Callithrix jacchus: one gene and its partners. The protein of the gene in region 4 interacts with the protein of the main gene of each other region in a biochemical or structural test. Links are inferred from orthologs where the notes say so. Each region holds a gene or a part of one and is shown on either strand. Other genes may lie near its edges.

Region 1 (4,872 bases), about 5.9 Mb from region 4:
TAATCAAGAAGTAACAATAAGTACAAGCAGCTGAGCAGCACACGCTGCTGTTCTGCCTATGGAGTAGCCATCTTTATTCCTTTACTTTTTCTGTTTTTGAGATGGAGTTGCCCAGGATGGAATGCAATGGCGTGATCTTGGCTCACTGCAATCTCTGCCTCCTGGGTTCAAGTGATTCTTCTGCCTCAGCCTCCCAAGTAGCTGGGATTACAGGTGCCTGCCACCATGCCCGGCTAATTTTTAGTATTTTTAGTAGAGGCAGTGTTTCACCATGTTGGCTAGGCTGGTCTCAATCTCCTGACCTCAGGTGATCCACCCACTTTGGCCTCCCAAAGTGCTGGGATTGCAGGTGTGAGCCACCATGCCTGGCCTATTCCTTTACTTTCTTAATAAACTTGCCTTCACTTTATGGACTTGTCTTGAATTCTTTCTTGTGCAAGACTCAAGAACTCTCTCTTGGGGTCTCGATAGGGACCCCTTTCTGGCAACAGAACCAACTTTTGCTCTGCTTAGAGACCCCCCACAAACCCAAGGCTGCTGTTGAAACAGGTGTGGCTCACCCCTGTCCTGGAGGTCAATGTTCAATTCTTTGACACTTGGGGTCTGCCTCCTTACTGACCCCTGATTTGACAGATGTCCCCTACCTCTGCCAGAAGACAGTGAGGGCTGTCCCCTGGTGTCCCCAGCTTTAGGGCAGCCAATGGGCTGCCAAGTGGAGCCTCTTTGGAGTATGCAACATTCTGTCAGCACCCAACATGCTCCTAGCCATAAACTTCCCTTCCTGCACCTATAGTCGGGGGTGGGGGGCGGGGGGGCAGGCCTGAAAGCTGAGAAGCTGAGAACCTACTGCAGATTCATGGTGTGAAATGTCTGCTTCCAAGCCCTGATATTGGCTGCCTTTTTAACTCTGTAAAATTTGGGTGAGATGCCTGAAATTGTTGGTGACCTTTCAGAGAGACTACCTACCTAGTACAGAATGGAAATTTTGGGCTCAAAATACTGGTCTATGTGGCCCCAGCAGCTGGGTCATCCAGTTCAGAGCACCCCCAGACACCCCAGTGTATTGTCTAACCCACTTTCCTACCAAGGGTCCATGGGGCCACGCCGTCACCCCCATGCTGGTTGGATATATGTGGTTGATACTATCCAGCTAAAATGCCTGCAATCTCATGGGAATACAACAAATGGGAATATGACATACTCAAAGCTAATAAATATGGTTCCTAGGTATGGGTTCTTTTACTAGCCATGTACGCCTACTTACTCGGCCTTGTATATCTTTTCTCATGTAAAGTTATGTTTTACCCATTTACCTGATGGCTGCCTTCCTCACTGAGGCCCTCAGAACATCACATAAGCATCTGGGGAGACTGACAAAGGGAGTATTTGTGCTTAGGATTACTGTTTGGTTCACAAGACTGATCATCTGAGTTTTAAAACCCAACAAACCCCCAAGTCCTTTGGTTATGCTAAAAGTCCCAGCAGCCATCAGTTAAAGAATCAGTTAAGTTAACCAGAAAGGCAAATGTAGATCCAATCTATTCTGTTGTGGGCCTTTAGTTCTTGAAAGACTTTAGGGGAAAAAAGTAGATTTTACGGGTTATGGGCTAAAGAGGGACAGTTTACACAGTGTGGACAAAATAGAAGTACTCTTACCAATAAATATGTTTCAAAACGACAAATAAAGCTCTCCAATTGGTGGCTCGGAATCCCAGCAAGAAGTGATGGGCACAGGCACAATGAGCTATGTACAGAGTGTAAACAGTAAGGCCCTTGAGGGGAAGTAATGAGGGGCAGGGCCAGATGATGGGGGTGCACGGAGGAGCCTGGGTGGTGGACAGAGGGCCCATGGATAAATACAACAGACTTGCATGACGGCCATACAATCTGCCACCAAAGCTTGTGGGCGGCGGTGGTAGGTCTACTGGGTTCCTCCAGTCGGCAGTAAGAATGAGAAATCTGTCCATTGAGGAGCCTTGGCCCCACTGACTTTTTCCCTAAGGGAGGCACTGGGGCAACTGGCCACAAAGCTTCTGTGCCAGTTCCCCAGAAGAGGAGAGGCAGGCCTTCCTGGCCATGCTTGGGGCTGTTTACTCAGGGTTCAGGGCATGGGGGATGGGGCAGTGCTTCTCAAATACGGATTGGGAGCAAATGGCCTCACGGAGCCCGCAGCCCCTCCCTTTTAAGAGAAGAGCTCTGGGCACCTGAGTCCACCAGGGGGCCCCATTACTCTTCACCTTTCAAGGGTTCCAGCCTCAAGCTCCGCCCAGTTCCTCAGGGAGGCCGCAGAGCGCTACCCCGATCAGGTGTCGGGTCTCTGATTTGCATGACGCCTCTTGAACAAAGCCAGCCTCCCTCTCTAGTCCCCCTTACTCCCAAGCCCAGCACACTGCGGCCTAGTTCTGGGGTCCTTAAATATCAGTCTCCCGTAGGTTGCTGTAGTCGGCCAATTCGTAGGCCTGGCAGGTGGCGCCCTCGGTCACATCGTGGGGGACGCCTAGGGACACGGCCTCCACCTCTGAGCGTTGGGCGCACGCTGCCTCTGCGCGCTGCGCGCCCCCGATGCGGATCCTGTGCGACAGGCTGGAGACTTTGGCGCGCAGCTGGGTGGTGGGTTTCCGGAGCGGCCCCAGCAGCCTCCACTCGCGGAAGGCGCTGGGTGGCTTTCGACGGCTGGCGACCGGAGCCTGCATCTCGGGCATGCCTGGGAGGTCGGGGTCGGGGAGCGCGGTGAGGGCCAGCGGCGCTCCGGGGGGCGCGGCGCCCGAGCTCGGGGCGCAATCCTGGCGCAGGCCGCTGGTGGAGGCCCGCCAGTGGTGGCCGTAGACTCGCCAGAGGGGGCGGCGGCGCCGGCGACGACGGCATTGGCAGCGCAGGAGGCGGAGGAAGGCGCGCTTGAACTCGCGGCTGGAACAGGGGTAGATGAGCGGGTTCACACAGCTGTTGAAGTAACCGAGCCAGAAGATGACCTTAAAGACGCCCTCCGATGGCTTCAGCTGCGGGAACAGGGAGCCTGTAGGAGGCAGAGGCCGACACTGGTTAGCTGCTTGGGTAGGGGGAGGCCAGGCAGGCCCTGGGCACAAAGGGGAGATACTTTGGCTGAGTATCCTTGGCTAAGTCACTGACTGGGAGTTCTCAAGGGATCCGTGCTGTAAATCAGGAGGTCTATGAACTTGGATAGGGAAAAATAATAATTGTTTTCGCTCACCTCTACCTCATATTGAGGATTTCCTTCAATGAGTATAGGCAACAAACCAGAGTAGAGTTAGACAAAACCGCGTGCAATTGCTGTTTTTGCAGCGCAAAACTGGTGCAATATTGGCGGTTTCCTATTATGACACAAAGTAGCAAACATAAGTCATGTTTGCTCAATTCTTTTCTTTTCTTTCTTCTTTTTTTTTTTTTTTTGTTTCACACGGCTGCCAAGGCTGGAGAGCGGTGGGGCAATCTCGGCTCATTGCAACTCCTGCCTCCCGGGTTCAAGCAATACTCCTGCGTAAGCCTCCCGAGTAGCTGGGACTACAGGCTCCTGCCATTACGCTTGGCTAATTTTTGTATTTTCAGTAGAGACGAAGTTTCTCCCTGTTGGCCAGGCTGGTCTCGAACTGCCGACCTTGTGATCTGCCCACCTCGGCCTCCCAAAGCGCTGGGATTATAGCTGTGAGCCACTGTGCCCGGTCTGTTTGCTCATTTCTGTGCGCCAGCATAATTTCCCAAAGTCCCTGACTCTGTGACAAAGTACAGCTCTCTGGAAAGATGCTTTCAAGATAAAATGGATAGAACTTATGCCCCGACCTCCCTGCCACATCTCTTGTCTGAGTCACTATATTCCTGAAATGATAAATGACACTAGTCCTTGCCTCTTCCTGCACATAAGATAACATCTGAACAGGTTAGTAATTATGCTGCTATGAACAAATATACTCTTACACCCAAAACTCAATATAATTCTGCTTTAATAGAACTTCTAGCAAGTTTAATATAAATGGAACCCCCACTACTTATAAACGGCAGATTAAAATACTGTGCAGGAGCAGTCTGAGACAAGCTCTCTGAAGGGCTGGCCTACAGGGCTTAGTCTGTAGTCCTCATTAAGACTTCTAAATAAAAGTAATGTATATTTTTTTAAAGTTTTTTTTTCTTTAATTGATCATGTAATTCAAACTAATGTTAGCAGTCCCCATAGATATTTTCCTGTGACTTTCCGTTGTTGCAGATGTTTTGAAATAGTCTCCATGCTCTTCATTTTTGGGAAACGACAGTCATTAGGATGCACCACTAGATCTTGTTATTTGTTTTTAGACCCACAGAGTCAATTTATTTTTGATAAAGGTACAAAGATAATTCAATAGAGATAAGGGAGTCTTTTCAACAAATGGTCCAGAACAATTGAACGATCTTGGTATGTGACACCTTAATGCAGAAGCACATTCATTACTAAGTCACACATTTCCTGTAAAAATATTTTGATGGCTTTTTCAATAAAATCTGTTTCATTTGTAATCTTTTGTATTTTGTTTCATGCTTTTGAAAGCATGACTTTGAGAAGGGACAGGTAGGTTTCCCCAGATGCCTGAGTAGTCTGTAACAAAAAGGGATAAGAACCCTGGAATTAAATGTTGGCCAAGGTTTGCTGTGTGCCAGGCGCTGTGCTGGGCTAACACACACGAGGAGGCATTACACATGGCCCTTATTTCCTAGCTAGAATGTGAGTGAGTATCATTGAGCTGCAGGTGGGGTGATGATGGTGGTGCTCAGTGTAGATGGTCCCTGACTTACAGTGGTTCGACTTAATTTTTTGACTTTACAGTGCTGCAAAAGTGATATGCGTTCAGTAGAATCCATACTTTAAGTACCCAAACAACCATCCTG
Region 2 (5,960 bases), on a different chromosome or scaffold from region 4:
TGTCTTTGTGAGTAACAATAAATTCTTTCAAAACTATACTCCGACAAGTTTTAAGAGCCTGTCAGATTTGTTTGCAGGTGATAATGACTGACTTTAACATATATAATTGTGACAGTTAACTCCTTAGTTCTCTTGTATTCTCTCAATCTGTATGTAGACAATATAGCCTTTTAAAGGTCAACTACAAAAGGCTCTATGTATGGAGAGAGTGCAAGCAAACTAAGTAGTTAAATATCAAAAATAACTTGTGGTGAATTAAGGTAAACTAACAACTTTTTAATTTGGGAAGGTGAATTTTGAAGGGTAATTGTGTGTCGTGCACATAAACAACTACTTAGAATTTGTCATGTCACATTTATTTTGAAAACTAATTTAAATATGTACTTTTTTTTTTGCCAATCAGTTTGAGCTTATAAGGTTGCTCAGGTTAGCCTTGAACTCATGACCTCGCCTTCGCAAGCGCCACGACCTCTGGCGGGAGCCACTTTGGACCCCAAATATGTACGATTATATAACATGATGATACACTGTAATGCTTTAGAAAGTATAATAATTGTGAAATCATGGTATTCCTGGTTGCTTATATATATCAAAACAAATTTTGAATATGTTCTTCTATTTTTCCAGAAATCAACACTTACCTGACATATTATTTCATATTTCTCAGAAATACTTTAATGTTTTCTCATTTCTGAATATTTCTAACAATTATCTATATACCTAAATACATATATTGATTTTATGTACATTTTTATATTTAAAAGCATATCATATATATTGAAAATTTATCGAACTACAGTATATAAATTTCTGGGTAATTACTGGCATTCCAAATCTTCCCCAAGAGTTGCAAATCTATAATACTATATTTATACATTTTTGCAGACTACGTATCAAATAAGATGTTGTCTTCATCAAATCATAAACAAATATAAAGTTTATCATGCAAAAGTTCCATATTCCCTGGCTTTTCTTAAACAGTATAAATATAAATAGGCATATAAAATTACAAAAAATTAGAATATATATAAGCTTTGCAATGATTGGTTTTCATGGCTTGAACATTTCATTATAGCCTAAAAAATTTTGTCACAGTATCTGCAACTAGCAAAATAAAGTTAAACACACACTTGCACAATCAGTAAAGAGGTACAAACACCCTAGATCCTGCAGAATATACACAAGGCCTCATTTTGGATATTTGATCTACATTACATACAAGCAACATTGTATCAGTAGTGCTTTTGGCAAAATATATCAGCAGTGCTTTCTTTTGATGGATGACTTGCGTGCTTTTTGGTTTAATTTTTTGGCCTTTAGCATGTTATTTGTTATTGTTCTGTAGGTGACCCCTGAAAGTACATATGTAAACTGCAGTGTAGAATGCAGTTCTAGAATATCTGTTGCAGAAAAAGAAGATGAGAGAGAAAGAGAGATATGAGAGAGACAGAGAGAGACAGAGAGAGAGAGAGAGAGAGAGAGAGAGAGAGAGAGAGAGAGAGAGAGAGGAGATTGATTTATCTCCCATTATAGTCAGTGGTAAAATTTCCTTAAATACAGGTTGGCCTTCATTTTCCTTTTGAAAACCTTGCCGTGGGGTCTACTTGCCCCTTTCAGAGTACTGTGCAACCTTCGCAAGAGATCATTTAGTACTAGTTTCCACCTTGGAGTAGATCTTCCTACCTTTCCAGTCTTAATTCTGTGTGAAATGGCTGCAAATCGATGGTTGAGCTCTGAGATTTGGGGCTCTACTAATTTCCTGCAGTGGTCACCGCGATTTGCCATCAAGTTTGCTGCTTGGTCACGTGTAGAGTCCACCTTTGGGCGTATGTCATTCAGTTCTGCCTTTAAACGCTATATTCCACGAGCAAGAGACAGGACTTGAAGTTAGTAATTAATGAAAGTCAAGATAGAAATAGAGAGCAAAACAGAGAGAGTGCACAAGAAAGAGAGAGAGAAAGAGAGAAAGTAAGAGAGAGTAAGCACATGCAGAAAATAGAAAGGGAGAAAAAAATCACAACGTCCATAAAACAGGAGTAAAATGAAAATGTGTGTGATTTCAGAAATACAGGTCACTGTCCTTAAGTCTAATGCATGTATATTTAAAATGATTAGTCTGAGGAAGGATAGGGATGTTTTCCTATGTTATTGCAACTATCATAATATATTCTATCTAATCTTATTATATCATTACTGAATTTAACAGTTGTGGAATAAGCTAAGTACATGCTCAAGAGTTAAGGTAGCTGAAGAATACTTTTCTATTCCTTCCTGGCACTTTCAAGTTCTTCTTTGTTTATTATATTGAGTGTTGTAAGAAAAAATGTGGTTTTCTAACAGATACGAATTCTGTGTCACATACAGAGGTACTGTGTCACATACAGAGGTACCTGCCGGGTCACAGAAGTTGTAAGTCACTTAACTCAGACCTTAAGTCTTGAAGGAATTTCACTATAAGATGACATCTTTGACTCTATGTCAAGGGACAATGAAGCAGACAATAGAGATCCACATCAAAATAAATTTCAGACAATGGCATAAATGTGTTTTAGGGAAAGTCTGGAATGCATTTATAGTTTTACATTAAATATAGATTGCAATCTGTGGAAAATATCAGAGGCATAAAAAAGAATTGCATAGAAAGAAACATAATTTTTGAGTTTTCTTTAAATTGTAAAAAAACTAATCAATAAAATTATCAAACATTTCAACAAAATAAAATAAAAATATTTATTTAAAAGAGCTGTTACAATTCAGCTCTACCTGTTTGTGAAAGGAGAGATTATCAAATAGAAACAATGTAGCATCAATAACATACATTTACATATTATACCTCTCATACCCTTTTATCAGAATCATTTTTTAAAGAAAATATTAAGTTGCCCTTGAAAAAGAAGACAGGGCATTCTAACAATCAGTTTCAATACTAAAAGAGAGCACCCAAAATGTTGTTTACTTTACATTCAGTAAAAAATGAAAAATTAAAAAAAAAAAAAAAATGAAAAATTCAGTTTTACGTAAGCCCAATATTAGGACTAATTACTAAGATTTAGATATGGCATAGGCAAAACATTCAGATGATGGGATGTCAGGTGGGCTGAATAAATGGTGGCAGGAGACAGTTCTTTGTGCTAGACCCAAGAATGTAGTACTGCCATTAACATAAGCAGAAATTTACAATATGATTTCAAAATAAATCTTGGAATCTCTTTCCGAGCATAGTTTACATTGGGTATAACTAACTGAGTGGTGGATTTGAACAGATATTCAGATTACAGTATTCTTCCAAATTATTAATTACCATTCCAAGGGGGAAGGAAGGAAAAAAGGAAGGACAAAGAAAGGAAGAAAGGATTGCTTTACTCTTATTAGGACAGCCTTAGTATCTTCTGGAACAAAGATCATTGAAAGTAACTGCTGTACAATTTGAACATGACTTTTCATATTTTATTTGCTACCTTAAGCACGTCTTCTTTTTGCTGGGGTTTCTTTTTCTCAGATTCATCCAAAAGTGTATCAGCCTGAATGATCCACTTTGTGATGTGGTCCACATTCTGGTTAAAAGTTTCCATGTGTTTCTGATATTCCTTAATTGTACAGAGATATACCATGACATTATTGGTTAGATTATATACTTAAAGAATTTTACTTATGTTCTAAAATTTTAAAAAGACAATAACAGTTTCATTCAGATTAGTTTTCAGTGGTATTTTCATATAGAATATTGCACAAATATAAAGAAAATATATTAAAATATTGTTATAGATATTGAATTAAGAGCCAGCATATATGTGGAATTGAGAAATTTTCAAACATAAAATTATTATTTTTTTTTCAAGGTAGCAAGAAAAGGACTTTACCAAGAAACTAACATTTACACTTTTTGACAGAACTGAAATACACTGAATTACAGAGCAAATTCACTAAAATAACAAAGAAAATTCTGTCCATATAAAGGCTCTATTTTTTACCCCCAAAAAAGTGTTTCAATTCTGATACTCACACCACACAACTGGTTAAGAAAATAAAGCACAGTGTTTAGCAAACAGAAAATTATTATTGGTCACTTATGTATCTTTTTCTTGTGACTGAGAAAGTTGTAAAATCTTCTAGCTTTCTCTCTTACCAACAAAAGATTTAACCACTCTTCCGCTCGGGAGGTGACAGCTATCCAGTTGCTATTCAGAAGACTGAGTTTATCTTCCACCAGTGTCTCCTTCTTGCCCAGAACTGTTTTCAAGGCCTCTCCTACCTCTGTGATACTCTTCAGGTGCACCTTCTGTTTCTCAATCTCTTTCTGAGTAGCCTGTGAAAAGGATAGCATTGACCTTCAAGTAATACATTGTAGCTTTAAGATGTAATGCTTATGAAATGGCTTTCTGTATGGTTACTAAGATTTTATGAGGTTTTAAACCTATAACTATGTATTTATGAATCATGAAAACCATACCATACACACTGCAGTTTCATTATTGGGTAACTATCAACATATATATATATATATATACACACACACATATATACAGACACATACACATAAGCATAATTCATGTCTTATTTTTCATTACACATTTAATAAACATCTTGTTCGCCTCAATATACTTATATCTACTTAATTTGTATATGTAGTGGATAAAGGCAGACATTTGAAAACGCATCCACAAATAAGAAACTGCCTTTAGAAAATTCTGCAGTATAGTGATACTATATTTGCTGCAGGGACTTTTAGCCTTCTAGTGCCATGGATCTTTTTGGCATCTGTTGAAACTTAAGAAACCTTTCTCATAATAATGTTTTTAAAGGCACAAAATATCCAGGATTTTAAATGAAAACAATTATACTGAAATACAATATGCAAAACATTTTAAAAATACATGTGATGTAGCAATATGTTTATTTATTAACAGGTTAATTAACAAGATCTAGCAGCAGGTCTTTAGGAAAATTTAAATGTAGTGATGAGCATAACTGTTATTTTTAAGTATATAAATCACATGGAACATGTCATAAAATTATCTGTCATTTCTATTATTGACAAAGTTATGGGCACTTCTATTATTGGGGTTTGTTACTCACATCTATAATTGAAAAAAAAAACATGCTTACTTTTGGTTTTAGGTGAATAAATATAAGGATGTATTTTTCCCCCAATTCCTTCACAGACCTTAATTATATCCATATACCCTAGACTAAAATCTTCTACAAGAACATTCTTTCCTAAGAATTGATTTATAAAACATGAAAACAATCACATTTAACATAAAAAATATATGGAGCATTGATGGAAAAAGTGATCCAAGTAAAAATGTTTACTACCTGCCCAGCATAAAGCCCCTTTCCTGGTACATGGCATGGCTGACAATATGGCCACTCTGCACTCCACTGCCTTTGTGCTTGGTTCTTCCCTCGCCAGCCTAGTTAGCCAGCTGTTGGACATCCACAGAGAGCTGAGCCAAAGCCCAACAGACACTTTCTCCTTTCTCAATAAGGTTAACAGATACAGAGACTATGACTGGCACTCGAGCTCAAAAGCTATTTGCGAGTAGAGCTGATGTCTTAATCACAGAAAGCCAAAGCAAAACAAAATCATTGATAAACAGCAATAACAAGGAAGTAGAGGATCCCACCTACAAATAATCAATTAATTAACATACAAGGAGCAACCCCATGAGGCCAGCCTATATCTAATTTCTTAAGAAATAAATTAGAGTATGAGAGTAAGAAATTAGCTGTAGGCTGGCTTCACAAAGTTGCTCTCAACTTGTCTATTCTATCTTTATAATATCCCTAAGTAGTCCTGTGGCTGTCTTTCTGCTACACCATGAGGTCCTGGTCCACTCGAAATCCCTTCATGTACTTTTTGTTTTGTTTTTGCCTTTAGCATCAAATAAACAGGGAAAATAAATGAGGTAACAATGTATCAAAATTTTTATGTAAGACAGAATTACTGTTTTGTCAAC
Region 3 (5,960 bases), on a different chromosome or scaffold from region 4:
ATAAATACTTTTTGCAGCTTGAGGTGCAACAGCAAAACTAGCACAAATTTATTTTGCCTTCTTCACAATTTTACAGATAGATTTGTTCTTACTGTGGATCTTAGCAACCTCAGCATTTTTTTTTTCTTTCCTTATTAAGTCAAGAACTTTCACCTTTTCTCTTAGAGGAAGCACTTTACAGCTTGTCTTTGGTGTATCTTATTTGCTAGCATCATTACTCTTATGCTTTGGGGTCATTAAGTAAAATAAGAGTGAGTTTAACACAAGCACTATTACATCACAATAGTTGGTTTGATCAACTGGATGATGATTCAGTGACTCATGGGTAGGTAGCATATATATTGTGGATCCACTGGAGAAATCTCACACCATCCCACTTTTCCCTGCCCAGAACGTGAGTAGAGTGAGATAGTGTGAGACTTCAACACGTTACTCAGAATAGCACGTGTTTTAAAACTTAAGACTTGTTCTTGACAGACTCTTGGCTAATAGGAAAAAACAAACAAACAAACAAACAAACAAAAACTTAAGACATGTTTATTTATGGAATTTTCCATTTAATATTTTCAACTGTTTGACCATGAGTAACTGAAGAAAGCAAAATCACAGATAATGGGAGACTATTATAGTCACATTATTTGCTATGTATATATTATTCACAGCTGAGCCATGTAGTGTACTATGGTTATATTTCCTAACACAAAAATTTCTTTTCCACTAGCATTTAATAACTGTATTTTGTTTTCACTTACTTGTTTTTCTATGTATTTGTCACTACTTTATCTAAATCTTCCAAAAGAAATATAAATTCCTCTCAATGTGTATAAATCAATTAATTTCTTCTTTTTCTGGGAGACATCCATATTAGAGCCCTTTAAGAATTCTGCTCCAACATGAATGAGTTGCTTTCTGAGCCTGCCACACACCAACATCCTGGGAATTCCCTTCACCTTTCTCCTGTGTTGGATTCCTTGTTTCCTAGCTACTGTGTTTTCCTCTATCTTGGTTTAATCTCTTATTTTGGATGAATACATTCTCCACTAGCTTTCTGATAAAAGTGTAAGGGTGATGAAAATGCTGAGACCTTTTATACGAAAAGGTCTCTATTAACTCTCACATTTGTTGGTGCTTTCCATGTTAGGGCCTTTTCCTCAAAAGTATTGTGGTCATTGACTGTTGCTCATAATTATGAGGCTCTGACCGGTTGACCAAATGCTGTGAGTAGAATGGATTTGTTGCACTGTGGGCTTCATTGTCAGGTGAGTAATAGGGCAGACACCCAGCTTTTGTGTTGAAGGATCCCCAGCTACCTGTATCAATCAGCCTTTTTCTCAGATTATGCAGTTTTCCATAGGAGGATCCTCCACAGGGTCCTGTCTTGACAGGGTTTGAGTCTGTCTGTCATCATTCTGGTAGCTAAATAAGGGAAGGGTACTGGGATTTGTGTTTAGTAGGAAGAATGATTTAGTCCCTCCCAACCTTCAGGCTGCCATGTCACCTCCACCCTTTACTGTACCAGAAGTCAACAACTCTATGGAGAAAACCTTGGTTTTCTTGTGAAAGTGAGGAGGGGGAGGAAGCTGGTAGGAGAGGAGAGCTTTTATTCAGACTTTCAATCTTCCTGGAAGTTGACAAGGGTAGCAGTGGGGAGAGCACCCAGCCAATACTTCTGCACAGAGAACTCTTACTAGCTGTGTAAACTTAAACAAGTTTCTTAATTTTTCTGAGCTTCAATTTCTTCAGCTGTAAAATGGAAACTCAGAGCTTTATATGTGCATGTCAAATGGGATTAATGAATGCAAAGCGCCTGGCATAATCTGCCTAGCAGGGGCAGTGTACTCAATTGTTGGCAGTACAACAGTCATGGTGGTAGTAGTTGGTAGTATCCTTAGCCTTGTTTCAGTGGACAGAAAGGAATCTCTCAAACTATCTAGCATTTTCCTACTCTCTCAAGAGGGAAGGCAGCATCACCTTACTCATCTTCTGCCAAAATGTTTACAGAATTTCAGGGGTGCAACAACCTTTGCAACTTGCCCTCTACTCCATCGTTCCCTTGTGTGCCCAACCCCAAAGCCCAGAGATAACTCTTTTATTTTTGGCTTCCATCCCAGTGAATTACTGGGAAGAATAGAAGCAAGGTCAACTAACCTACATCTCAAAAAAAATTTTAAGATACGTGACCTTGATGCTCTCCCTCCCATTCTACACACAATTCTTCCATTTCCTAGGGCAGTGCCCCAGATCTTCCTCCTACTTTTCCTGTCCTTCCTAATACCCTGGCAAGAGAGAAACAATAGAAATAGTGTTGTCTTCAGTATGTTAGAACTCCTTTCCCAATGCAAAATGAAATTCTTCCTTCCCCTACTTATCATCAGTTCTCTTTTGCTCTAATCCTTCTCCCCCCTTTTCTCTCACTGTCCTTTCTTGGGACCTTGATGCTGTTTTGTGAAAGGACAGCCTTCTTCTTCACAGTTAGTCTTTCCCTGAATCTTAGGATGTGTTTCCTGTCTGCTTTGGGGCTTCCAGTAGCATTGTTAGTTGGCTATATCTCAGGGGATTGAAGAGGGCAGGGGAGCTATAGAAGCTGGGGAAGTTGTGGATGTTTTGAAGAATTTAGAAAGCCTGATGGGCCACAGATCTGGTTCAGGATCTGAAGAAAAGTAGGATCCAATGTGCTCTGTATTTTTTCCCAGTCTGATATTTCAGTCCACAGGACTCTAGTAGGAATTTTTCATCCTGTATTCCTCATTAACACTCAACAACTGAAAATACACTGAATAAAATTTTTGAAGTAAGTCTTATTAACAAAAGTTGTGGTCAACTAAATATTAAGAATCAATCAACATTTGTTGGCAATGATGTAAATACAAAGTCATTTGGAAACTATGAGTGAATGAAGATGGACACAAGGATAGAGGAACAGGTCTCATCTAAGTACTCCTTATACTCTTGTTTCCTTTTTCAACCACACACTAACAGGGAAACCACACTTTATCTTTGCCTTCTGTGAATGGCCTTTTTTGAGTGCAGACCTTAGTCTGTCCTTAAAATTCTCTCCAGCAAAGTAATATAGCACAGGATTGAAGCAGCTATTGGCTGCTGCCAAGGCCAGTGTGATGACCAAAGCTTTATGTAGCCTGTCTCTGCATATACCCACTTTCCATGTCACCAAGTGGAGCGTCCTCAGTGTGTGATAGGGCAGGAAACACAAGAAGAAGATGATCAAGGCGAGGACAATGGTGATCAGTGTCTTCCTGTGAGAAACCCGTAGCCCCAATTCTGGGAGCTCCACTTTTAACAGAACTCGAATGATCAGCAGGTAACAGATGCTGAGTATGAAAAATGGGAGCAGAAAGCCCACCACCAAGGCAATATAGTTCATGGTCTGCAGCTTAGTAAGTTTATAGAGATTCAGCTCTAAGCATAATGTAATACTGCCATTCTGCTCAGTGGCACGATCCAGTAGCATTACTGAGGAAGCCATGATAAGGATCCATATGATCCCACACAGGATCCAGGCACTCCTGATGCTGATGATATGGAGAAGCCGAAAGGGGTGAACAGTTGCCAGGAAACGCACAACACTCAGCACAGTCAGGAAATAAATGCTGCTGTACATGTTGACATACAAGGAATAAGACATAATTCTGCAGGCCAGGTCTCCAAATATCCAGTTGGAGCCTCTAAGGTAATAGTCAGCCCTGAAGGGAAGCGTGCTTATGAACAGGAGATCTGAAATAGCCAGATTTAGCATGAAAATGTTAACGGATGTGGACTTCTTATAAGGCTGTAGGAAAACATATATGGACAAGCCATTTCCCAAGACTCCCCAGGCAAATATTATCAGATATACAATTGGGAAAAATTCTCTCTTGAAGTTTTCAATTGTGCAGTTACTGTTGTTGTTGTTATTGCTGAAGGTGGCATTTGGTTCCATTTCTGATAAGGAGATGGATGGATGTAAGGACATAAATGTTCTCTCCATCCTGGGTTAAAAAGAAACAGACACAAAAAGTTACTTTGTGAATTTCCCTTTTTCCTTCTTGCTTACTGATTATATCGCTCTAGGTTTTAATAAAACAGGGAGCAATACCATCTTTTCTTTGAAAGTTGAGTTTTAAAATATTGGTTAAGTCTTTACTATATGCTGCATTATATTTCATAATAAATTTACATTTTCTGATTTATAGAATGTAGAATAGCCATTAATTTGTTTGGCAGAAGTTGAAGCTTCAAACTTAGGGAACTTATGACCTAGTGCCCATGTTGACATGAATACCTCCCTGTGAACCTAAAACCGCTGAATAGTAGATTTCTCATCAGAAGCTGTGGAGCACAGAAGAAAATGGCACATTTCTCGAATGCTGAAAGAAAAGACCTGCCAACCTAGCATTCTATATCCAGCAAAAATATCTTTCAAGTACAAGGAGAAAATCAAGATTTTTTCAGATGATGGAAAACTAAGACTCTGTTGCCAGTAAACCTATCTTAAAAGAATGACTAGGCCAGGTGCAGTAGCTCATGCCTGTAATCCCAGCACTTTGGGAGGCTGAGGCAAGTGGATCACTTGAGGTCAGGAGTTCAAGACCAGTCTGGCCAACATGGTGAAGCCCATCTCTACTAAAAATATAAAAATTAGCTGGGTATGGTGGCAGGCACCTGTGATCTTAGCTACTCAGAAGGCTAAGGCAGGAGAATTGCTTGAACCTGAGGTAGAGGTTGCAATGAGCTGAGATTGTGCAATTGCACTCCAGCTTGAACAACAAGAGTGAAACTCCCTCTCAAAAGAAAAAAAGGAAGTTCTCTAAACAGAAAGGAATTCATAAAAGACGGAACCTTAGAACATTAGAAAATAAGAACATGGTAAGCCAAAATATGGGTAAATACAATAGACTGTCCATCTCTTTTAGAGTCTAGGTTACATTTAGCATTTTGATACAAAAATGTTAATGCTCTCTGAAGTGGTTTTAAATGGATGTAGAGGAATTATTAAGATAACTATATTATAAATGAGGGAAGGTAAAGAGACATAAAAGGAGGTAAGTTTTCTATACTTCACCTGAACTGATAGAATGATGATGTGAATAGATTATTGTAATATATATATATATGGAGAGAGAGAGAGAGAGAGGAGAGAGAGAGAGAAATACCTAGAGCATCCACTAAAATAATATACAAAGGGATATACTCAAAAACATTACAGATAAATACAAACAGAATTCAAAAAGTGTTCAGATAACCAACAGCAAGGCAGGAAATAGAAAACATAATAAAAACAGAAAACAAAAAATAAATTGCAGTCATCCCTGATTCATCAATAATTACATTAAATATAAGCAGTCTAAATATACCAATTAAAAGATAGAGGATTGAAATATATTTTTTAAATGACCCTATTATGTACTGCCTATAACAAATACTTCAAATAGCAGTATTGGCTGCTTGAAAGTAAAAGGATGAAAAAATGCATGTCATTCAAATCAAAGAAAATTGGGAATGGCTCTTTTAGTATCAAATATAGTGGACTTCAAAGGAAAGGACATTGCCAGAGACAGTGAGAGACACTATATAATAACAATGGGGTTTAACCACTATGAAGACATATCAATTCTAAATGGGTATGCACCAAGCAACAGAGTTTGCAAAACTAAAAAAACTGAAAGGAGAAATATTTGATGACTTCAAGACCCTCTCTCAGCAGTTGAAGCAAATAAACAAAAACTCAGCAAGGGCATAGAGAAACTAAAAACACCATCAACCAACAGGATCAAATTGACATTTATAAAAGAGTTCACCCAACAAGAGCAGAATATTCATGCCTTTAAGTGTTCACAAAACTGCAAAAAAAATTCAGTGAAGGAAAGATAGCCTTTTCAGAGGCATTGGAGCAACTGGATAGCCACAGGCAAAAAAAAAAACCTTAAACTAAACCTCACACCTTATACAAAAATTAACAAAAA
Region 4 (6,665 bases):
TGGGGGCACATGCCTGTAATCCCAGCTACTCGGGAGACTGAGGCAGCAGAATCCCTTGAACCCAGGAGGTAGAGTTTGCAGTGAGCCAAGATTACACCACTGCACTCCAGCCTGGGCAACAAAGCAACACTCCTTCTCAAAATAAAATAAAAATACAAACATTAGCCAGGCATGATGGTGTATGCCTGTAATCCCAGCTATGTGGGAAGCTAAGGCACGAGAACTGCTTGAACCCAGGAGGTAGAGGCTGCAGTGAGCCGAGATTGCGTTACTGCACTCCAGCCTGGGCGACAGAGTGGGCAGACTCCATCTGAAAAAAAAAGAAAGAAAAAGAAAAAGAAAATTCCAAAAAAAATTTGGCTTTGAAGCAGCAATGTGGGGGCCTGGTACAGTGGTTCATGCCTGTAATCCCAGAACTTTGGGAGGCTGAGGTAACCAGATCACTTGAGGTCGGGAGTTTGAGACCAGCCTGGCCAACATGGTGAATCCCTGTCTCTATTAAAAATACAAAAAGTAACCAGGTGTGATGGCACACTCCTGTTATCCCAGCTACTCAGGAGGCTGAGACATGAGAACCTCTTGAACCCAGGCAGTGGAGGTTGCAGTGAGCCGAGATCATGCCACTGTACTCCAGCCTAGGCAACAGAGCAAAACTCTGTCTCATAAAAAAAAAAAAAAGCAGCAATGTGGGAATCCACTGATACCCCTCAAACTGGAATCAAGATAGCAGTCAGCTATTCCTATGGCCTCAAAAGACTGCTTTAGCAATCATAATGTTTTACAACCCAAGGTCCAGGCTGGAAACCAAAGCCTTAAAGTCTAGAGATTCTAAAAGCCTGTCTGAATTACATATCGGATACAAAAGAAGCTAATACATTTTACTAAACCGCTTTATTACTTAACTGTGAAAGCCCTTTAAAAATAAGAAATAGTAATAACAGTTCACCTTCACCTTAGTTGCACGTATCAAATGCCAAGCACTGTGCTGAATGCGTTCAATGTTGTTTCATTGCGTCTTTACAATACCCCATCTCATAGGCATGCTCAGTTTCCTATTAGGAAAACTGAAGTGTGGAGGGAAGCCCCTTGTCCAAGGTCACTCAGCTGGTAAGTAGCGAAGCCCGTATTTGCACCTAGGCCTCCAGGCTCCAGAACCAACACTATTCACCCTACGATAGATGGCACGTCAGGCCCTCAAATATCACACTCCTGGCTCATTCCCAGAATACTGAAGATGAGGAATTAGTGGCCCAGAATGGGAGGTCATTGTTCCAAGGTGACACAAGCTGGTGGCAGAGCTGGGATTGGAACACCTCTCTTGACCCCCACACAGGCCCAACACTTTGCTTATCTGCACAGAGCTTGAAGTCTAGGAGAGAAAGGGGTTTCTATTTATATCTGTCCTCCCCCATCTGAAACTAGGGGTTTCAGTTCGGTTGGAAGCTATGATCACTCATGGCTGCCTCAGACTAAGCTAGACTCTAGAGGATGGGTTACCATGACAACAGGAGCCCAGTCTCCATCCACAAGGATTTGGATCCTATGATAGTACCTGAAGTCTCCCTCCACCTAGAAGTATGCAGCTGGGGGGGAACTTTGTGTGACTTAGAAAGTCTGCTCCTCTCTGAGTCTCAGTGTGTCCATCTGTAGAATGGAACTCTATATGAATAAGTTCAGGCCAGGCGCAGTGGCTCACGCCTGTAATCCCAGCACTTTGGGAGGCAGAGGCAGGCGGATCATCAGGTCAGGAATTCGAGACCAGCCTGGCCAATATAGTGAAACCTCCCTCTCTACTAAAAAAAAAAAAAAAATTAGCCAGGCATGTTGGTGGGCACCTGTAATCCCAGCTACTTGGTAGGCTGAGGTAGGAGAATTGCTTGAACCTGGGAGGCAGAGGTTGCAGTGAGCCAAGATTATGGCATTGCACTCCAGCCCAGGTAACAGTGTGAGTCTCCATCTCAAAAATATTAATAATAAATAAACAACCTGCTGTGACACACTGAGTATATAATTTTTGGATTGGTCTGTTGTCCCATCCCATGCTGGAGACTGGGGGTAAGACTGGTGCCCATATGCTCGTTTTCCCATTTCCCCTTTTTAGGTCCTCTTGGCTGCCTGGGGATCTGCCATTCTGCAGGAAAGAATCAACTTCCCTGAGCACTCTCTAGGGGACAGTAGCTGATAATTAAGGTTCAAATCCCAGGGCTGACACCCACTGTGTAATCGTGGAAAATCATTTTACTTTTCTGAGTCTCAGTTTCTTCACCTGTGATGTGGGGATTATATTCCCTATCTTTCACCACTTGTTGCCAGGATAAAATGGATCATGAAACTAGTGTCCTGGGCACCACACATGGCACGCAGTGGTGGCATTCACTACCATCCTCACTGCCTCAGCCAAGCCAAAGGGTCTGGAGGCACTAGTGAACAGAATCAGTACTGGGGAGACCTGGGTGGGGACAGTTCATATTCAAGGTGCAGAAAAAGGCTGACACCCTTTCCCAAAGCACCCTGCTGGAGGCTGGAACCCTGAGAAACAGATAGGCAGGAATAGTGAGCCCAGCAGCTGGGGTTGTGCAAGGATTTTAAGCACTATGTTTAGTAGCTTTGGGAGTATCTCCTGGACTCCAATATTCCTCTCCGCTAACAGCAGTAATTAACTAGGCACCTACAATGTGCTGGTGTGGTGAGCCCTGCTCTCAGAAGTCACAACTCTATCATCCTCTTATACAGTTGAGGAAACTAAGATTCAGAGATGGGATGGGATTTGCGCAGGCTCACACAGCTGGTCCTGGACTCAAACGCAGTCTGTTTGCACTCTACCTGCACCCTACTAGTGGTCAGTCTTGGGGGCTGAAAGCTCTCTCTATCCTGTGCAAGGTGACTCAGACCAGGAGACTCAAATCCAGCTGTCGGGGCTCCCCATAGCCTTCCTGGGTCCTTCGATTCCTAAGGCCTTGCTGGCCTTCTCTCTGTGACCCCAGCCTGTGCCTGCACCCAGGCCTCCTATCCACCCCTGTGCTTCCCAGACTCCAGGCCTCCGCCCTGCGCCCAACTTGGTTGCTTCTCAGGGACTCCCTGCTCCCTGCTCCACCGGTGTCCCAGCCTCAACTCCCTTTCTCCACTCTCTGCTTTTTGGGGGACCCCTCTTGTCCTTGATGTTCATGCTGGTTGCCACTCAGACCCCCACGCCTCCACACACAACTCCCCACCCACGTGTCCTTGGTGCTCCCACAATATCCTCCACACCAGTAGCTACCGTGCCCCCTAAGGTCACCAACTACAGAAACCCCCTCCGACCTTGGTGCGCCCAGTGCCCTCTGTTACCTGTTTCCTCAGAATCCCCTTACCCCCAGACAGAAGGCCTCCATGTCCTGGGCGCGCTGCCAGCCCCCTGTGCCCTCAGCGGTCCCCAGACACCGCGACCCCGTACCCTTGGTGTCCCGCGCCCACCTTTGATGCTGATGCCCAGCCCACCGGCATCGGCCTTGCGCACCGTCACGCGGCGCCGCTGGAGCAGTAGCGCCTCAGGCAGCTGCGGGGGCCCGGCGCCTGGCTCCGCGGCGCCGTTCAGCTGCGCGGGCTCCGGCTCCCGCGGAGCGCCGGGATCGGGGCCAGGGTCGCCGTCGGCGGAGCTCACGGTCAGCACGTCCTCCGCCAGACTCAGCAGCACTCGCTGCCACCGCTCGCCGCCGGCCCCCGAGCCCGCCCCGGCGCGCAGCTCCAGCAGCCCGGTACGCGGGGCGCGCCTGCCGGACGCCATCTTCGCCTCCGAGACCCCGGACCTCCGTGCTCGCCCTGTCCCGCCGTGCCCTGCCCGTTCCTACCAAGCACCCGGGGCAGAGGGCAGCGGGGGCCCGGCTGGGCCAGCCGCCACCCTACCCTGGCCGCTGGGGGAGGAGCTCTGGGGGCGGGGCTACCAGGGGTGTGGCCAGCGCTTAGGGCGGGGCCTCGGGCAGGAGCAGGAGGCCGGGGCGGGGCACGGGAGCCGAGGGCCTCCGAGTGGAACTACCTAGGTTGCGGCTTAGAAGGAGCGGGGCGGGGCCACGAAGTAAGGCGAGACGCCTGGGAGGCGTGGTGCTGGGCGGGGAGTCAGGGGGCGGGGCTTCTCTTCGGGGGAGTAACCCAGTGATCCAGCTCAGGGGTCTCTGTGCTAGGAATGTCCGTCGAGGGCCGAGACTGTAGCTCGCGGACGTGGGAGCGCATGAAAAAGAGACAGAACCACGTATCCTGGTGCGAAGCATTGGGCGTCGTGCTGCGTATGGCGGAGCTCTGGACTCCAGGGCTTGAGTTTAATAGGTAGACATCGGCCGGGCGCGATGGCTCACGCCTGTAATCCCAACAGTTTGGGAAGCCTAGATGACAGCCCAGAAGCTTGAGACTGCAGTGAACCGCGATCATGCCACTGCACTCCAGCCTGGGTGACAGAGCGAAACCCTGTGTCAAAAACAAACAACAAAAAAGGTAGATACTGAGCCGCGAGAGACTACAGGCAGAGTTTTAGTTGGAGAGCGGAGGAAGAAGCTGGTTTCGCATCGGGGTAACCGAGGCTTTGGTCTGTGGGCGTGGCTTATAGTGGGCGTGGCTTCAGATGTAACGGGCCCCGCCCCCGGAGGAGAGAGCTGCCGGCTCCGCTTAGGGCTTAGGCAGGATCCCCACTTCAAAACTGGAGGGAAATTTAAGAGATTAATCCCTGGCTCTGTTAACAGTCGAGGATAGAAAAACCTGAAGTCCCACACTTTGAGGCCTGGCAGAAAAATCTCGAACTCCTAGTGTGTGGGAAGAGGACTGCAAGGTGGGGCTCTGGGTCTGGGCGTCTGGAGACCTGGTTTCTAATCCTTGCTCTGTTAGCTCCAAGTCGACCTTGGTCCCTTCACATCACTGCTCTAGGCCCCAATTTCCTCATCCATAAAATGTGGCTCATAATAATATCTACTTCACAGGGCTGGTGTGAGGATTAAATCAATGTGAAGACACGTGGTAAACTGTGAATCCCTATGCTATAGAAATAATCACTTTCGGCGGGAAAAGTGGCTCAACCCTGTAATCCCAGAACTTTGGGAGGCCGAGGCAGGCAGATCACCTGAGGTCGGGTGTAGGGTCCAGCCCTACTAGGGTCCTGGAGTGTCCCCTATCACTGTGCTGAAGCACTGGATCCAAGAAATAAGGAGACAGGACACCAAAGGACTGGATAAAGACAGCTGGGCTCCGGGGGCCAACGCCACTTACAAGTGGAGACAGGCGATGCCCTGAGCGTCCAGGCACATCTGTATTCGTTAGGTATAGGTTAGGGGGAAGGGTAGTGAGTGAGGTCATCTTAAGGATAGTGATAGGGTCAAGACAATCACGTGTGCAATAAGCAAAGAGTCCACCCCCATTAGGTAGCCGAGACAGGAGGTGGTCAATGTGCAGCAAGGGGTCCACCCCTAAGGGGGTGGACAGTGCACAGTAAGGAGGGTGCAGTGTGCAGCATCTCTTATCTAGGGGCAGGCTACTTCTAAGAATTCCTATAGGAGGATGCTCTGAGTCAGCATAATAGCAACAGAGCTGACAGAGTATACAGCCACCTGCAGGCTGCTACTAACGATTTCTATAGGAGGTTGCTTTGAGTCAGCACAATAGCGAGAGAGCTGACAGGGTGTATAGCCACCTAGGCTCGATTATACCAGAGGTGTTTTAAGCCCTCAGAGTACACAGGATTGCCAGCCTTAGGCCAGCTTTCCAAAAGAACTGGACACAAGATACTACAACTCCCTTTCAGGAGTGACTCTTGCTCCAAGTCTGCCATGCAGCGGGTATCTTTACGATACTGAACGCTGCCTGCCATGTAGTGCATACCCTTTAAGGCAGGGGCACTACCACCTGGGTCATTGATTCTTATCCTGGTGTGGCTGTTTTTGGATATGTTGGGCAATAAATAGAACCACACCAGTGTTTAGACTCCCTGAACTTTTGGGTAAAATCCTCTTCATAAGATACAATCAAAAAAAAAAGAAAAGAAAAAGAAAAAACTCAGGGCCAGGCACAGTGGCTCACGCCTGTAATCCCAACACTTTAGGAGGCCGAGGTGGGTGGATCACCTCAGGTCAGGAGTTCTAGGCTAGCATGGCCAATGTAGCGAAACCCTGTCTCTACTAAAAATACCAAAAAATTAGCCAGGCGTGATGGCAGGCACCTGTAATCCCAGCTACTCATGAAGCTGAGGCAGGAGAATTGCTTGAACCTGGGAGGCGGAGGTTGCAGTGAGCAGAGTTCACACCACTGCACTCTAGCCTAGGCGATAGGTCAAGACTCTGTCAAAAAAAAAAAGGGGGGATTTTACTTGCTGTTTTTTGAGATGGAGTCTCACTCTATCACCCAGGCTGGAATGCAGTGCCTTGATCTCGGTTCAGTGCAATCTCCGCCTCCCGGGTTCAAGCGATTCTCCTGCCTCAGCCTCCGGAGTAGCTGGGACTACAGGCACGCACCACCACGCCCAGCTGATTTTTGTATTTTTATTAGAGGCAGGGTTTCACCATGTTGGCCAGGATGGTCTCGATCTCTTGACCTCGTGATCTGCCTGCCTCGGCCTCCCAAAGTGCTGGGATTACAGGAAAGAGCCACCATGCCCAGCTGGGATTGTTTTAAGTTAAAGTGATAAGTGTCAAAACAGGGGAGACACAGGT

Evidence for each region. The genes of interacting proteins can lie anywhere in the genome.
Region 1: the proteins of SNTA1 (region 4) and ADRA1D interact in a test that uses a peptide from one of them, tested with the Homo sapiens proteins (2 studies listed by BioGRID and IntAct). The link is inferred for Callithrix jacchus from reciprocal best matches to the Homo sapiens genes SNTA1 and ADRA1D.
Region 2: the proteins of SNTA1 (region 4) and DMD form a complex in vitro, tested with the Homo sapiens proteins (2 studies listed by BioGRID, with this or other methods). The link is inferred for Callithrix jacchus from reciprocal best matches to the Homo sapiens genes SNTA1 and DMD.
Region 3: the proteins of SNTA1 (region 4) and CYSLTR2 interact in a test that uses a peptide from one of them, tested with the Homo sapiens proteins (2 studies listed by IntAct, with this or other methods). The link is inferred for Callithrix jacchus from reciprocal best matches to the Homo sapiens genes SNTA1 and CYSLTR2.

The regions. Positions count from the first base shown.
Region 1 is NC_133506.1:11,729,547-11,734,418, forward strand, and holds the end of ADRA1D (alpha-1D adrenergic receptor), read right to left. Parts: intron 3,014-4,872; coding exon 2,412-3,013; 3' UTR 1,509-2,411; downstream 1-1,508. UniProt on the Homo sapiens protein: This alpha-adrenergic receptor mediates its effect through the influx of extracellular calcium.
Region 2 is NC_133524.1:33,238,509-33,244,468, forward strand, and holds part of DMD (dystrophin), read right to left. Parts: intron 4,307-5,960; coding exon 4,127-4,306; intron 3,588-4,126; coding exon 3,459-3,587; intron 1,855-3,458; coding exon 1,684-1,854; intron 1-1,683. UniProt on the Homo sapiens protein: Anchors the extracellular matrix to the cytoskeleton via F-actin. Ligand for dystroglycan.
Region 3 is NC_133502.1:67,254,365-67,260,324, forward strand, and holds the end of CYSLTR2 (cysteinyl leukotriene receptor 2), read right to left. Parts: intron 3,987-5,960; coding exon 2,942-3,986; 3' UTR 523-2,941; downstream 1-522. UniProt on the Homo sapiens protein: Receptor for cysteinyl leukotrienes. The response is mediated via a G-protein that activates a phosphatidylinositol-calcium second messenger system.
Region 4 is NC_133506.1:5,876,765-5,883,429, reverse strand, and holds the start of SNTA1 (alpha-1-syntrophin), read right to left. Parts: upstream 3,893-6,665; 5' UTR 3,764-3,892; coding exon 3,454-3,763; intron 1-3,453. UniProt on the Homo sapiens protein: Adapter protein that binds to and probably organizes the subcellular localization of a variety of membrane proteins. May link various receptors to the actin cytoskeleton and the extracellular matrix via the dystrophin glycoprotein complex.